2 linked regions of the Diceros bicornis minor genome follow. The protein of the gene in region 2 purifies or fractionates together with the protein of the main gene of each other region. This does not show direct contact. Links are inferred from orthologs where the notes say so. Each region holds a gene or a part of one and is shown on either strand. Other genes may lie near its edges.

Region 1 (7,725 bases), on a different chromosome or scaffold from region 2:
CCATTACTATCACCAGTTCTAGAACAAATTCCTCTTGGCCTTAGTCTGGGTCAGGTGCCCCTTGCATGGGCAACCGACTCCTGTGCTACTCTAGGTCGCCTGCTGACATGTCTGTCTCACCCATGTGGCCTGTCCTGTCCAATGCTAGCCACTAGCCCCATGTGGTTATTTAAATTTAAATTAAATTAAAAATTCATTTCCTCAATTACACTAGCCACATTTTGAGAGCACACTCAGTAGTCATGTGGGGCTAGTGGCGACCATGCTGGAGGGCGCAGATACTGAACATTTCCACATCACAGAAAGTTCCAGTCTAGCACACCACCGCACTAGACCGTAAGCTCTGGGAAGGAAGAGACTGAATTTCTGGTCCCACACTGTATCCCTGGCACCTCACGTGCTCTCAGGCCCAGCTCTGATGCTAAATAAATATCAACAGATTGAATGAATACACATGCTGCCACACCGTGCCAGGTCCAGAACCAGCTCTGGCATCTGTCTCTTTCTCACTCTTCTACCTCCAGACCATGGCTTCTAGCCAAGCTCTGAGGGGCCCCTACCCAGGGCTCATGGTCTCTTTCCTCCCTCCAAACCATCTCTGGTCCATGACTGGCTCAGGGTCCCAGAGACATTGTAAATGTGTATGTGAGTGCGTGCGTGTGTGTGTGTGTGTGTGTGTGTGTGTGTGTGGAGTGGAAGTACAGAAAGGATTGGCAGGGGAGGAGGTGATTAGCATGAAACGACACCGGGGTTCCAGGCCTCGAGAAGTTCAAGTTCGAGCCTCTGGCAATGGCCACGCTCACCTGTGCGGTGGACAGACACCCAGGCTTTGGTTTGAATTCTGGCTGTGTTTCCTCCCAGCTGTGTGACATTGGGCAAGCAACTTATCCTCTGTGAACCCACTGTATGCATTGTTTCCTCACTGTAAAATATGGATAATAATACCTACCTCATAGAGGTAGTGAGTGCGTTAAATAAGATGTCTGGGGCTCAGTCAGTACTCAATTATTGCTTGTTCCTTTCTCTACATAGGAGGCAGTAAAATCCCTTCCTCAAACATCATTCAGATCATGGCCCTCAGACACCTGCCTGGTTCCCACTTATTCCATACAGGCGGCCAAATATAACTCCTGACAGCTCCTTTTGCCTTAAAGCAAGAGGCTCGTCATTGGTTCCATTGCTCTTATCTCCAAAGGCACCTGGCTCAGCTTCTGTCTGCCAGCCAGCTGAGTCTGTTTGGCTTTCTCTCCCCAACCTCCACGTCATCATTCACGCCTGAAATGCCCTTCCCGCCCTCTTTTTCCAAAACCAGGCCCTTCATTCTCTGAAACAGATTTCTTCATGAGACTCACTTCCTCTCTTAAGCTTGCTTGACTCAGCTTCCCTGGTTTCAAGATTGCTAATCACTGAAAAATATTTCCTGTCTACTTCAGCCTTTATCCCCCGCTCCCTCCTCCCTTAGTGACTATGATGTAAGACTGTTCTTGGGAAATCTACACCTGTGGGAATCTACATTCCCAGGTATCTGGTTGTACATGTGATTGTTATAGAGCAGGAAGCAAGAGCAAGCGGTGACCAAAAAAAAAAAAGCAGTTGGTGAGGTGGGAGGGCTGGACCAGAGCAGCCACAGGTCCCATTTGGCCACTTACTACATGGGTGGCCCTCAGCAAGTTACTGAACCTTTCTGACCCTCAATTTCCTTGTCACAAGATATTGTCACAAAGATCAGAAATAATATTATCATTACTACTATTACTATTTACCTAGCCTTTACTATCCTAAGCACTTTACATAGATTCTTTTATCTCATCTTCACTTCAACCCCGGCAGGTGGGTATTATTATTTTTTCTATGTTACTGTTTAAGCAACTAAGACACAGAGGAAACACAACACAGAGGTTAAGTACCTTACCCCTGGTCACAAAGCTAATAAGTGACAAAGCCAGGATCTGCACACAGGCAGCCAGGCTCCAGAGTCCACGTTCCTAACTACTCTGCTTCCTGCCTCCCACGTGTAATCCTGTGTGTGTGTAAAGCTCCTGACACAGTGCCGGGCACAAAGATAATAAAGCAGTGGTGTCATGCTTTGCTCACTGGGACTGCAGGTACACGAGGCCAGGAAAAGTGTCTCTTTTCCTCTGTACCCTGGTACAGGGCCTAGGAAAGGACAGAATAGAGGGTAGGCACTTTACACACATTTCCAGGGCCCGAGAAAGGTGTGGAAGAACTCTAAAGAATTTAAAGCCATACTTCCTCACCCGGATGTGAGTTATAAACATACACACACCACATGGACACACACGTCTCACAAATACATCACGCACACTCACACATACACATTCACTGGCCACCTTGAACCCCATGAAGGCTCCACCAGGAAACCTTCCTGAGCTGGTCCAGGCCACACGATCTCTCCCACCCCTGAATGCCAACAGCGCTCACTGTTAGGGCCAGCCAAGCCAGCCCTCACTATGTGGTGTTTTGTTTATTCATTCAAATAACTACTAGGAACCAGGGCCAGGTATTGCAGAGGCAAGACCAGAAAAGTGTTGTTTCTGCCCTAAAGGAACTTTGAATCTGATAGGAGATGCTGGCATACCACCCAAGACTTACAGTAGGCACGGGGAAATAAATCCTATCTTTGACAGCACATATGAAGGTCTTTTAAACCAGACTGGGGCATTTTGGAGAACTTCCTGGAGGTGACACTTGAGTTAAATCTTAAAGATGAACAGGAGTTACCCTGGCAAAGGAGGCGTGTGGAGGAAGGAGAGGCAAGAAGTGGGAACAGGTTAACATGTTTGGGAAACTACAAGTTGTTCTATCGGCTGTGATGAAGAGTTTTTAACAGGGACAGGCAGGACATGAGGCCAGAGGGGTAGGCAGGGCCCAAGCGCCAAAAGGCCTGATGTGCTAACCTGAGAGATTCAAGACTGTCCTGAAAAGCTCTCAGGAGCCGCGGAGGGCTTTTAGGCAGAGATGTGACATGATTGAATCTGCATTTTAGAAAGATCAATCCAGCAGCACAAAGGACGAACTGATAATAGAGGGGACAGGGTGTAGATGAGGGAACATTGAAAAGACTTTCAACAACCAGGAGAAGAAATGAGCTTCAATTCTTAGTGCACAGGGAAGGGAGAGGGCATTTAAGAGATAGTAAGGAAAAGTGAGGAGGGAATAGTGCCATTCACTGCAAGAGGAAAAGAAAAAGGCCAAAATTTAGACTGGATAGAAGGGAGACAATGATACCTTTTGACTTTCGGAGTTCAAGGCGTCTCTGGGACACCCAGGAGACAAGAGCTTCTCACATATTGAGGTATATGGGGTAACTATTGGGGTTCAAAACGGATTTGGCTTGAACTAAAAAGCCTGACTTATGGCCTATCAAACATACATTGTACATCTGCTTAATGATTAAAGTAAAGAATACACTTTCTTAAGACAAGAATGCATACTTCCCCTCCTAGGCCCTATTGGTAACGCCTGCATTGGTCCCTTTCCTGACATCACGGTCACGTTGACCTGCTAATTTGCAACTGGATACCTCTTTGAAATTTTGATGAAAACATATCCTGGGTGTGTTTAATGTACGTACTTTGTTCTAAAAAGATATAAGACTGTACTGAAAACCCCACTTCTCCGGAATGCTGTCTAAGGCCTTCCCGGGTTATAATCCTCACTCTGGCTCAAGTAAACTCACCTTATTTCTCTTATCTATAGAATGGTTATCGGTTATTTTGTGTCTATACAGGTGATATCTAACAGGCTTTTGAATATGTGTGGGCATATTTATAAAACATATACAACATATATATGAATATGTGTGTACATATCTATGTGTTCATTATTAAAGCTAGCAAGACATCTGGGCTGGAGATACAAGTTTGAGTGTCATCAGCTTACAGGCAGAAATTAAAACCGTGAGCGTGGGTGAAGTCACCCAGAGAAAGTGTGGGCCAGAAGACTTTTGTGGGCCCTGAGCTCTGGGGAGCTTCAACTCCAAGCAATTGAAGGCTTGCATTTGTGAACGTTCTCCCAGGAACAGCGTGTGAAATGAAAAGAGGATGAGGAAAAGGCCCTGGAGATCACCAACATGTAGGGCAAGAAAAGATGAAGAAAAGAGAAGAGAAGGGCAAAGGTGCACGAGGAGAAGCCAGAACAAGGTGTCAAGTCAAATAAGGCAGTAGCGTCAAATGCCCCAGAAGTCAAGGAAGATAAGGACAAGAAACTCCGTCAGTTAGATTTGGCAACTAGGAGGTGGCCACTCCGGCCAGAGTGAGGTCAATGGAGTGGGGAGGGCGTGGGTTTCCAGCTGTTGGAGAGATCTCTTCAACTAACTTGCACTTGGAGCAGAGAACTGGAATAGCAGCCCCGCAGCCTCCACGCGCGAGCCATACTCGCGCATGCGTACTCGTACACAGCAGAGGGCTAACGGGGACTTCGGGTTTTCGACAGCGCGCGCCGAGACCCCGCGCACGCGCCTCCGGAGCCCGCCTACTCCGCCGCGGGCCTCTCCCCAAGCCTGCAGAGGGCGCTGCACCTCGGAGAGCCGGGGCGTGGCGGCGCTCTAGCCAGCGGCTGGGCTCGGTGGCGGGCGCCGCAGCTCCGCGTCCCCCACGCCTCCTCCCAGCGCAGGTGGGTCCGCCCGCGAGGGGCGGGAGTGTCTGGGAGCCGTGGGGCGGGCGGGTAGCGGCAGCCTCTGGGCGCAGAGTGGTCCCCATCACCCAAGTGCCCCGGCTCGGGTCCGGCCCCAGCGGGTCGGGCTGTGGGCAGGGCCGCACGGGTACAAGTCCCATGCGGGTGGGAGAGCCTCCTCTTAGCCGTGCGGAGCCTGTTCCGGCACCCATTCACACCCCGGGGGGTGGGGGGGGTCTCCGCCGAGGCTCGCGTGGGGCTTCCGGGGGACAGCTGGAGGCGGGGCCGTCGGGGGCGGGGCTCCCATGATTGACACCTCTCTCCCCAGGTTTCCCGGGCTACCGCTGGACCCCTCCCCTGTCCTGAATCCTGAGCCGGCACCATGGTGAGAACCCTGAGCCCAACCCCTCGCCTTGGAATGCCGGTGCCCTCGCCCCGTTTGGCCTTGCCTCGGTTGCACTATATAAACCTGGGACTCCGCAGTGGGGGGTTCGGTGGGTCTGCCCTTGAAAGGCAGCCTGCACCCTTCCAACCCGCCCATCCCTTTAGCACGGGCGCCTGAAGGTGAAGACATCGGAAGAGCAAGCGGAGGCCAAAAGGCTAGAGCGGGAACAGAAGCTGAAGCTATACCAGTCAGCGACCCAGACGGTTTTCCAGAAGGTGGGGCCCTCAGAGGTAGCCCCCTCCCCAGGTGGCCTCCTTAGTATAGCACAGAGGCTGAGAGCTGGGCCTCAGAGTCAGACTGCCTGGATCCATATCTGGGTTCTATCACTTACTAACTTGTATGACCTTGGGCAAGTTACTGAATCTCTCTGGGCCTCAGTCTGCTCATTTGTAAAACGGGGCTAATAATTGCACTTACTGTGTAAGGCTGTTGTGAAAATTAAGTGAGAAAATACATGTAAACCCTTAAAGCACTTTGCATTGTACCTATTGTATAGTATGGGATTCACAGAATATTCGGTAGCTCTGTTTATGTTATTTAGCTCTGCAGTGGGAGAATGTTATGATCTCTGACCCTGCTACCCGTCTTCTCAGCGCCAGGCTGGGGAGCTGGATGAGTCCGTGCTGGAACTGACAAGCCAGATTCTGGGGGCCAACCCTGACTTTGCCACCCTCTGGAACTGTCGACGAGAGGTGCTCCAGCGGCTGGAGGCCCAGAAGTGCGTGGGGTTCAGTGCCCCAGGAAGGCAGCCCTGGCCCTGCCCCTGCCCTGCCTGGGTTCAAGGGTAGAGGAGGAGTGGGGCAGCCAGGGGCAGAGGCAGAGAGCAGTGGAGGGCTGGGTGTAGAAAGGCAGGGACAGCTGAAGGTGGGTGTTGGAGGGCCCTGACCTCCAGTCCCCTCTGGGTGCAGGTCCCCTGAGGAGCTGGCCGCTCTGGTGAAGGCAGAACTGGGCTTCCTGGAGAGCTGCCTGAGGGTGAACCCCAAGTCTTATGGTACTTGGCACCACCGCTGCTGGCTGCTGGGCCGCCTGCCAGAGCCCAACTGGGCCCGGGAGCTGGAACTGTGTGCCCGCTTCCTTGAGGTCGATGAGCGGAACTGTACGTGCCTGTTCTGTCCCCACAGCCCTCAGCTGCCCCACATCAGTAAGGCCCAGAGTGGGGAGGGATGGCCAGGATAGGCCCACTGAACTGGTGGCAGAAGGGATGGTAGAGCCAAATGCATCCTCCATGGAGTGCATAGGGGTGGAACGCTAGGGGTACCAGCCAGGGAGCTCCCCCTGCCCTGCTTCTGAGATGTGCTGTCACCCCTCCCCCCCAGTTCACTGCTGGGACTACCGGCGGTTTGTGGCTGCACAGGCAGCTGTGCCCCCTGCCGAGGAGCTAGCCTTCACTGACAGCCTCATCACCCGAAACTTCTCCAACTACTCCTCCTGGCATTACCGTTCCTGCCTCTTGCCCCAGCTGCACCCCCAGCCAGACTGTGGACCGCAGGGGCGCCTCCCCGAGGATGTTCTGCTCAAAGGTAAGCAGAGTCAGGGGTGCTGGGGATGACTCTGTAGCCCATCCTCCAGCCCTGAGGCCTAGCTCTGTTCCTGAACCTGCCTCTTGGGTTTATTGAACACCTACTTCATGCCTGGCTCTGGCGGTGCATAAGATTCAGCCCCTGGCTGCAGAGAGCATAAGTGTCCAATGGGGAAGATAAAACTGATGTATGCAGCCCCTGTGCAAGGCCAGCGTATACCTGAGCCTGAGGGCTGGAAGTGCTCCAAGGACAGGGTGGGATGTCCTGACCACAGCCCCGTGCCTCCTTGGCCCCTGCAGAGCTGGAGCTGGTGCAGAACGCCTTCTTCACTGACCCCAATGATCAGAGTGCCTGGTTCTACCACCGGTGGCTCCTGGGACGAGGTGAGCAATGGAGGAGGAGGCTGGGTGTTTAGGGCTTGGAAGGAATGGAAGAGTATTTACGGAGACCTGAGGCTGTGTCTTCCCCCAGCTGACTCCCAGGATGCCCTGCGCTGCCTGCACGTGAGCCGGGACGAGGCTTGTCTGACTGTCTCCTTCTCTCGGCCCCTCCTAGTGAGTCCTGCAGCTTTTGCTGGAGAGCATCCTGGATTGTGGGCCTGGTGCTGTTGGGCTGATGGGTCTCTCTTTGTCCCCTGTGCCAGGTGGGCTCCAGGATGGAGACCTTGCTGCTTATGGTGGATGAGTCGCCCCTGGCTGTGGAATGGAGGACCCCAGATGGCAGGAACCAGGCCAGCCATGTCTGGGTATCCTAGGATTGGTGGGGCATTGTGGGGGGCTGGGGCAGGGCTGGGGTGGGACAGTCAGAAAATGGTGAGGCCCGGGGTGTTTCCTTGACCCTGTGCTCCCAGCTCTGTGACCTTCCCGCTGCCTCTCTCAACGACCAGCTGCCCCAGCATACATTTCATGTCATTTGGACAGCAGGCGATGCCCAGAAGGAGTGTGTGCTTTTAAAAGGTGATGCGACCTGCACTCTGCACCCCTTGCAGCAGCCCCCCTCCCTCCCCTCCTCTCATGGCGTCCCCTCCCCCCACCTCCTCTTTCTCTCAGGCCGCCAGGAGGCCTGGTGCCGGGACTCGGCCACAGACGAGCAGCTCTTCAGGTGATGACAGGGAAGCACACGGAC
Region 2 (7,705 bases):
ACACAAAACCAGCTGATGAAACAAGTTTACTGGGCAATCAACTCATGTTATTCCCATTTAGAAGTACTAATGTGTTGTTTCCTGAAGATTTCCTATACTTTATTATTCATCCGTCCATTCAGCAGCTTTTCAAAAAACTTATTTTTTTGACAAGTAAAAATTATATATATTTAAGGTGTATAATGTGATGTTTTGATATATGTATACAGTGTGAAATGATTACCACAATCAAACTAATTAACATATCTATCACCTCCCATAGTTACCATTTTTTTGTGTGGTGAGAACACTTGAGACCTACAATCTTAGCAAATTTCATGTATACAATACATTATTATTGACTATAGTCATCATGCTGTACATTAGGTATCTAGAACTTATTCAACTTATAACTGAAATTTTGAACCCTTTGATCAATATCTCCCCTTTTCCCCAAACGCACAGCCTCTAGTAACCACCATTCTACTCTCTGTTACTATAAGGTTGACTTAAATTTTTTTTTTTTAGATTCCACATATTAGTGAGATCATGCAATATTTGTCATTCTGTGTCTGGCTTATTTCACTTAGCATAATGTTTTCCAGATTCATCCATGTTGTTGCAAATGGTAGGACTTCCTTCTTTTTACAGGCTGAATAATATTCCATATATAGATATATATCTATATATCTATACATCACATTTTCTTTATCCATTCATCTGTCGATGAACACAAGCTGTTTCCATATCTTGGCTACTGCGAATAAGGCTGCAATGAACAGGGGACTGCAGATATCTCTTCAAGATAGTGATTTTATTTGCTTTGAATATATACCCAGAAGTAGGATTTCAGTGGATATTTTGAGTGCCTATTATGTGCCAGGCACCGAATGATGTATTGGGAATATAACGATGAATAATATAGGCACAGTCCTTGCCTTTGTGGAACTTACCTTCTAGGAAGATGGCAGATATGAAACAAGTAATTGCATAAGTGATTTTATATTTTCAATTATGAAAAGTTCAACAAAGGAGTAGTACAGGGTGATAGGAGACCTAAGGTAGACTGAGGACTCAATGCAGACAGCAGAGTATGTGATGTTTTGAACGAACTGCAACATGAGTAGGATTAAGCTAGGAGAAAGGGGGAAGAAGGATAAAAGTGCACCTCAGGCACACGGAAGAGCATTTCTGAAGTCCCTGAAGCAGGAAGGAGCATGGGGTATTAGAGGAAACGAAGGAGAGCCAATATGGCTGGAGCTTAGAGAGAGAAGGGTGAGAGGTATGAGATGAGACTGCAGAGTTCAGCAGGGTCTTTTAGACCATGTTTAAAATTTTGGAGTATATTTTAGGAGCAATGGGAAATCACGAAGGCTTTAGGTAGAGGAGGACATGATAAGATTTGAATTTTTAAAAGTTTACCTGCAGTGTGGAGAGCGGACTGGAGAGAAGCAAGCATGAATAAGGGCTCTAGCTGAGACCTCCTGTCGTAGTCTAGGTAAGAGATTATGGGGCAGTCTAGATTGAGAAGTAGATATATTTACAATATAGCTTTGAGATAAATCTGCAAGAGTTGCTGATTAATTGGCTTAAAGGTGAAATAGAGTGATATATCAAGGATAATTTTCTTAAGTTTTTGACTTGAGCTAACTGACTAGAAAGTGGTACCATTTCCAAGGTAAATAACATTGGAAAAAGAGGTTTGGGAGCGGGGTTGAACTGTTCAGGAGTTCAGTATTCAACACGTTCAGAAGAGATGTTGAGTAAGGGGTTGTGTATATGGATCTGGAACTCAAAGGAAAGGCCAGGGATAGAGACTATTAAATTACTGGTTTGTAAACGATGATACATCAGATCCCACAGTTGAGTAAACTTCTAAATACAAGGTAAATGTTCATAGAATCGTGGTTTTTCAACTCAGGAAATCAAGTACAAAATTAGTGTCACAGTGATTGAATAGGGTAGTATATTTGTAGGTATCCATCATCTTATTGTACTGTGACTTATCCAAATAAAATATTTCAGTTCTCAAAAATAGATGTCCTTAGAATAATAGAATATATAGAAATTAAGTTGTTTTGCTTTATGATATTTTACTGATATTATCAACTCCTATATTTATGTTTACTTTGCAAAAAATCTACAAAAATACATTTGAAAGAAAAGGTATTTTGAGCATTTTCTCCATGCAGAGGCTTTAAATTTTTCTAATGTAATAATCTTTTCCATGCCCAGCGAGTGTGTGATAACTTTAGAGAAAGGAAGCTAAATATGGGCTGGCAATTTTATCTTTCTGAGAGTTGTGCTTTCCAGCCTCAGAAAAAAGGGAATTCAAATTTGGGGCAAAACATATTGGAAAATTAGTACTACGGAGTAATCACTTGTTTATTTTTGTTTTTTACTTCACTAGATATAAACTTCATGAAGACAGAGATTTTTGTCTTTTAGGTTCATTCCTGTAATCCCAGTGTCTAAATCAGTGCCTTGCACATAGTAGGTATTCAATAAATATTTGAGGAAAATTGAATGAATTTAATGAGTTGTGTCTTCACAGTGTGATTGCATTTGTTAGAAAATTTCTGAATCCATAGAAAGTTAGATATACTCATATCGAAAAGGATATATATATATATACACGTACACATGTATACACATATATCTCCAAAATAAGATAGAAATACTTTTATTTATCATGCTTCTAACCACCCATCTATGGCTTCTCTCTGTTAGAGGAGATTTTGGAAACTTTCTTGTGTCTACCTTGGGAAATCTTTAATTTCCATTTTCACTGGTGGTGTTAAGAGTCTCACAGATAAGATCTATTTCACTTTTGATAATACTCAAAACTTTCTTTTCATATCAAAGCAAATGGCAGAGTGGTTTACTGAACAATATATTACACTTCTCAGAGGAATCTCTTTTACACAAAATATTCATCAGAGGACCATATCACAAGAGAATTGTTCAATATAACAAGATAATCTATAAAAGAAATTAATGAAACATGCACAATGTTGCTAATGATTATAGCAAAATGCAATGAAATGAGGCAAAAAAAACCCATTAAAATACAATTTTAAGAATTTTCATGGAACTTCAGCAAAGTAACAAACATGCATTGAGCATCTTCAGAATATAAGATACCTCATAGTAGTTGGCAGACATCACGGTGAAGACTTAAGTCCCTGTCTCCATAGTACTTACCATGTATTAGAGAAGTCAGAACTAAGCTCAGTTCAGCAAACACTTATTTAATCCCTACTCTGCACCAGGTTTATGTTAGATGCAGGGGGTAAAAAGATAAATAAGGCACAGTCCTTATCATACAGGGGCTTATAATTTAGAACGCTGTATATCTGGATGTGTATTTTTGTGAGTATGTCTGGGGATATGTGTACTGTATAGGAACCAAGATAAACGCAAATAATTTCAGTGTAATATGGCAGTTTATGACAGAGTGGTAGCACTACATAGAGAAATTTAACCCAATATAGGGAGGAGATAAAAGGAGGAGGTGGTGGAAGCCGAGCTGAATCTCGGGGATAAATGTTAGCTAGAGAATGGGAAGATTATTCCATGCTGAAGGAACAACAGTGTGACTGGGGGACCACAAACAGCTCAGAGGACAGGAGGTGTGAGGGAAGGTCCACTACTGCACTCTCTCTCTGAATTATTTTGAAACTCTTGCAAAATAACTACACAATGAATTTCTGGGATCAAAAAAGTACTCTTCCTCACTCCCACGCACCCTTCCCTTCTTTTTTGCTTTGGTATTGCCAGACAGCAAAGCATTTTAAATGACGGGGGGTGGTGGGGGGAGGGGGTGGGAGGAGGCCGACCTTGAAAATACTTATGAGAGCTATGTTAGCTGCTTCGCATAGACAATCTAAGCCCCTTCATCAAATGCAATCAGTTTAATATAAAGGCCATTTTACCTTGATTATTTCTGCGGTGGCTTATCAGGAGAATCTTGTACGGACTTCTCGTATATGTATAGAAAACCAGATTCAGAATCAATAAACGCTTATCAAGCAAATACTATGCTTTCATATGTTTTTCCCTCCTGTAAAGCAAGGCTAATTTTGCAAATATATATTGCCAGCGTGGCTGTTTGGACTAACTAGAACAAATACAGACACGGCAAGGGTTCCATTCTGGCGAAACTAGGGCGAGAGGTTTTTTTGTGAGTTTTCACTGGGGAGACACACAGACAAAAAAAGTACGGGATATATTTTGAAAGTATTGTGTGAAAAATTACGCCTCGCGGGCCAAAAAGAAAGTACAGACACACTGGGGGAAACAGTCTCCAGGCTGGAATGAAAATTTCCTTTGTTCACAGAGCAATCCTCTTTCAATTTCACTCCGCCCTCCGTGTCTCTTAGCAATTCTTGCTTCATCATTGTCAAGGGGTATCCAGGTCTTCCCACATTCATCGGAGTAAAAATCTACATCTTTTTTCTACTCCAAACCTCCAAGCTAAATGTGCTACTGCACTCAGCCTGGAAAATGAATCGAGCTTTTAATATTCGCCTAAACATTTCAAATATAATGCTGTAGCCGCCTACCTGGACCTGCCACCCAGGAACTACAATACCCAGAATGCACTGTTTTCCCTTCCGCCTTCTACCAAAGCAATGCCTAATTTGATCTCATTTCCACAAGCAATAGTCACATGACACGTTTCCTGTCAAGATGGCGGATAATCTCCCTTCGGAGTTTGATGTGATCGTAATAGGGACGGGTATGTGTGGCTCTGGTACTCCCCGGACAAAGTGTAGGAAGTCTATCTCGTTCCTACCTTCTCTGTCAGTGGCGAGGATTGGCGAGAAATGCCGAGGATCGAGTATAGGAGGGAGGACGGAAAGGAAGTGAGGTAGTCTGGAATCAGCGCGGGACTTTGCAGCTCCAGGGAGGGGCTTGGACCCGCGGTGCTTAGCGCCGTTTGAGTAGGGGTCGATCTGGTCGATGCCGATTGCTGAGGTTGGTTGCTGCGGGTGATTCCTGTAATTTACTTAGAGGGAGGTGGGTTTGCAGTGTCATGAGAATGGAGGGTCGGGATTATATCAGTGGAGACGCCTTTGGCATGACATTATGATTCCCTCCTTGTTGATTTCAAGGTGCTATTCCCGATCAGTTTGTCTCGCCATTGCATAGGAATTTTTCATATAGTTATATAATCCTAGGGTGCAGTGCAGCTCAGATACAGCTTAATCCTCAGTTTTCAGAGAAAGATGCTCAGTTGTTGCCCTTGTGCGTGTTAATTCACTGGGGTGAGGAAACGGATTCTTTTCTATTGTGTTGAGAAGCTTAGGGAATTGTATTTTGTTGAGGTAGCCATTATTCCTGCTTTATGGTGCTGAAAGAAGGCATTTTGCCTTCTACCACCCACGTGTCTACCCACAACGAAATGAGCTGAGAACAAGCTGCTGTTAGTTCCAGTTCAGGTGTGTGACCTTATCTTTCCCTTGTTTTCCCATCGTTTATTTTCCATGTTTTGGGTGGTGTCAGAAACCCCCAGCAATTTCTAGTTGACAAATTCCACGTACAACTCGTGGCAGAAGACATTTGGCAGCAATTGGTATTTTGTTTTTCTTAACAGTGTAGAGTGGATTTTAGATGGGATGAAATAGGTTGTTGGGTGGAGTTTTCTCCTGTCTGCAGAATGTGGTAGGCCGGAGAGGGTCTGGTGGATGAGACCCTGACCATTGTGTTCATGAGTTTAGTTCGTTGTCCTCTCAAACAGTAGGAGCAGCCATGTTACCAGGGCGGGAGTAAAAATAATAGCTACCTGTTTGAATGCTTATTGTTTGCTAATCTATGTGCTAAGCACTCTACAAGCCGTATGTAATCCTCACAACAGCGTTGTTAGAGTAGGTATTCTCTACACTTTACAGAAAAGGAAAAGGGAGCTTAGAAATGTTGCAGTTTGCTCAAGATCACACAGCTGGTAAATTTCCAAAGGCCCATTCCATTCTAGGAGAAACAGTGGTTTTGACCCTCAGAGTTAACCCATATGAGTAGAAATAATTGGGAAAACTTTGTTCTAGACCATGCTTGGCCATTAACTAGCTGTGTGAATTGCTAGGACTAGGCACTTAATCTCTGAGTCTTAGTTTTCTTGTTTTTGAATATAGGGAGGGTCAACTAGATAGCCTTTTAGATGTTGTCTGACCAAAAATTCTCTTGTTCTGGTTGCACCTGGGTAATTGTTCTCAGAACAGCGAGGACATGTTTATTCCCAACCTGAAAACTGCATGGGTGCAGATAACCTGGCTGTAGCTGCTATATACAGATGTTGGATGAGAGCTGGAAGGAACCAATAGACTATTCTCTTATTTTATCCAGTCTATCCTAAAACTAAGAACAACATCCATTTTAGAATAGTTGTTATACCATACTTGGGATCTATATTATTGCCTTTCTTTTTTATTACCTAGGAATTTGGGGTGTTTTAAAATTTTTTTTGAACCATTGAGACTTTTTTGTTATCTGGATTCAAGTTTTAATTGATGAGTGCTAATTCTTATTATTAAATGCTGTTAATTCTTATAATAAATTTTGCCTTCTGGTTCTGTTCATAATATGGACTACAGCCATTCCATTGGAGTCTGTTATAATAGAGGTAGGAAGATACTGTGAGTGATACAGAAAATGGCTTCAAGAGGCATCTCGTGTATTTGGAAAAAGATTCATTTTAGACTTATTCCAGTGAGAGTAACGTAGTTTCTCAAAGCATGGGAAGAAGTTATTTGAAGTTGATCTTAAAAGTTAAGGTTTTCATATCACTCCATGTTGAACACATTCCGAGTTTATCAAGCACATTGCTTAAATTTATGATATGGAGCTTTGTTTTTAGGTTCGTCACATTGGAAAAATTGGATGAAAGTCATTTCCCAAATAAATGATTCCAATAATTCCAATCATTACTTAATTGGAATTATTTTTAATGTGTTTGGACTATTTCTCTTCTGAAATAGTTTGCTGAAAGTAGCCGTTAAAACGTGTTTGCTTTACTAAATGTACTAACTTGAGTAAATCATAAGAAAAGCAGTGTTTCGTAGATTCAGTTTTACCAACAAAAGCATAATTAATCATGCATGTATCAGAAACATGAAGAAATAGGCTATGAGATGTAATTTTTCTTTTAGCAGATTTAGTTCTAGTTAAAATGTCATCAAGACAGTTGCTTCATCAGTAAAATCTCTGGATAATATTTTAGATCCCTTTGACCTTAATTAATATATTTCTTTTCATTTTTCATAACAAGATTTTCCTGAAGATCATGTTTTGAAGAGATTATGAGAAAATAAAGTTTTGTGTGTCTTTTCTTAGTTAAGCACATTTCCTCTTGATTACAAAATGCAGGAAATCTCTCTCAGACACCCAAAGGCAGAGGAATAAGATAAAGTACTTGAACCATGGAAAATATGGAATAAAATGGAATAAGGAAGGAGGGTCAACTGAGTCTTAAGGGAGAAGACACAAATGGATATGTGATAAGTGTCTACAAAGTGGCCTTCAGTTTGGGTACACAATTGTCATTTTAAAGACATTTTGTCATTTAAAAAGATTTGAATGATAGTTTTGTGGGTTGTAGAGAAGTGTCGTTGGCTTCAGGTTAAAAATAGTCCCAGTAACATAACACATCACCCGAGGTGACTTATCTGGCGACCTGTGTAATCTGCAGCAGAGCCAACAACTCAGTAGAAGGGCAGGCAAGATGGAA

The links. The genes of interacting proteins can lie anywhere in the genome.
Region 1: the proteins of CHM (region 2) and RABGGTA purify together in Homo sapiens (co-immunoprecipitation; 4 studies listed by BioGRID and IntAct, counting the BioPlex papers as one, with this or other methods). This does not show direct contact. The link is inferred for Diceros bicornis minor from reciprocal best matches to the Homo sapiens genes CHM and RABGGTA.

What each region holds. Positions count from the first base shown.
Region 1 is NC_080744.1:23,742,687-23,750,411, forward strand, and holds the start of RABGGTA (geranylgeranyl transferase type-2 subunit alpha), read left to right. Parts: upstream 1-4,713; 5' UTR 4,714-4,783; intron 4,784-4,963; 5' UTR 4,964-5,017; coding exon 5,018-5,020; intron 5,021-5,184; coding exon 5,185-5,295; intron 5,296-5,673; coding exon 5,674-5,798; intron 5,799-5,988; coding exon 5,989-6,176; intron 6,177-6,396; coding exon 6,397-6,600; intron 6,601-6,899; coding exon 6,900-6,983; intron 6,984-7,071; coding exon 7,072-7,154; intron 7,155-7,243; coding exon 7,244-7,345; intron 7,346-7,450; coding exon 7,451-7,556; intron 7,557-7,649; coding exon 7,650-7,701; intron 7,702-7,725. UniProt on the Homo sapiens protein: Catalyzes the transfer of a geranylgeranyl moiety from geranylgeranyl diphosphate to both cysteines of Rab proteins with the C-terminal sequence -XXCC, -XCXC and -CCXX, such as RAB1A, RAB3A, RAB5A and RAB7A.
Region 2 is NC_080781.1:78,471,887-78,479,591, reverse strand, and holds the start of CHM (rab proteins geranylgeranyltransferase component A 1), read left to right. Parts: upstream 1-4,668; 5' UTR 4,669-4,671; coding exon 4,672-4,720; intron 4,721-7,705. UniProt on the Homo sapiens protein: Substrate-binding subunit of the Rab geranylgeranyltransferase (GGTase) complex.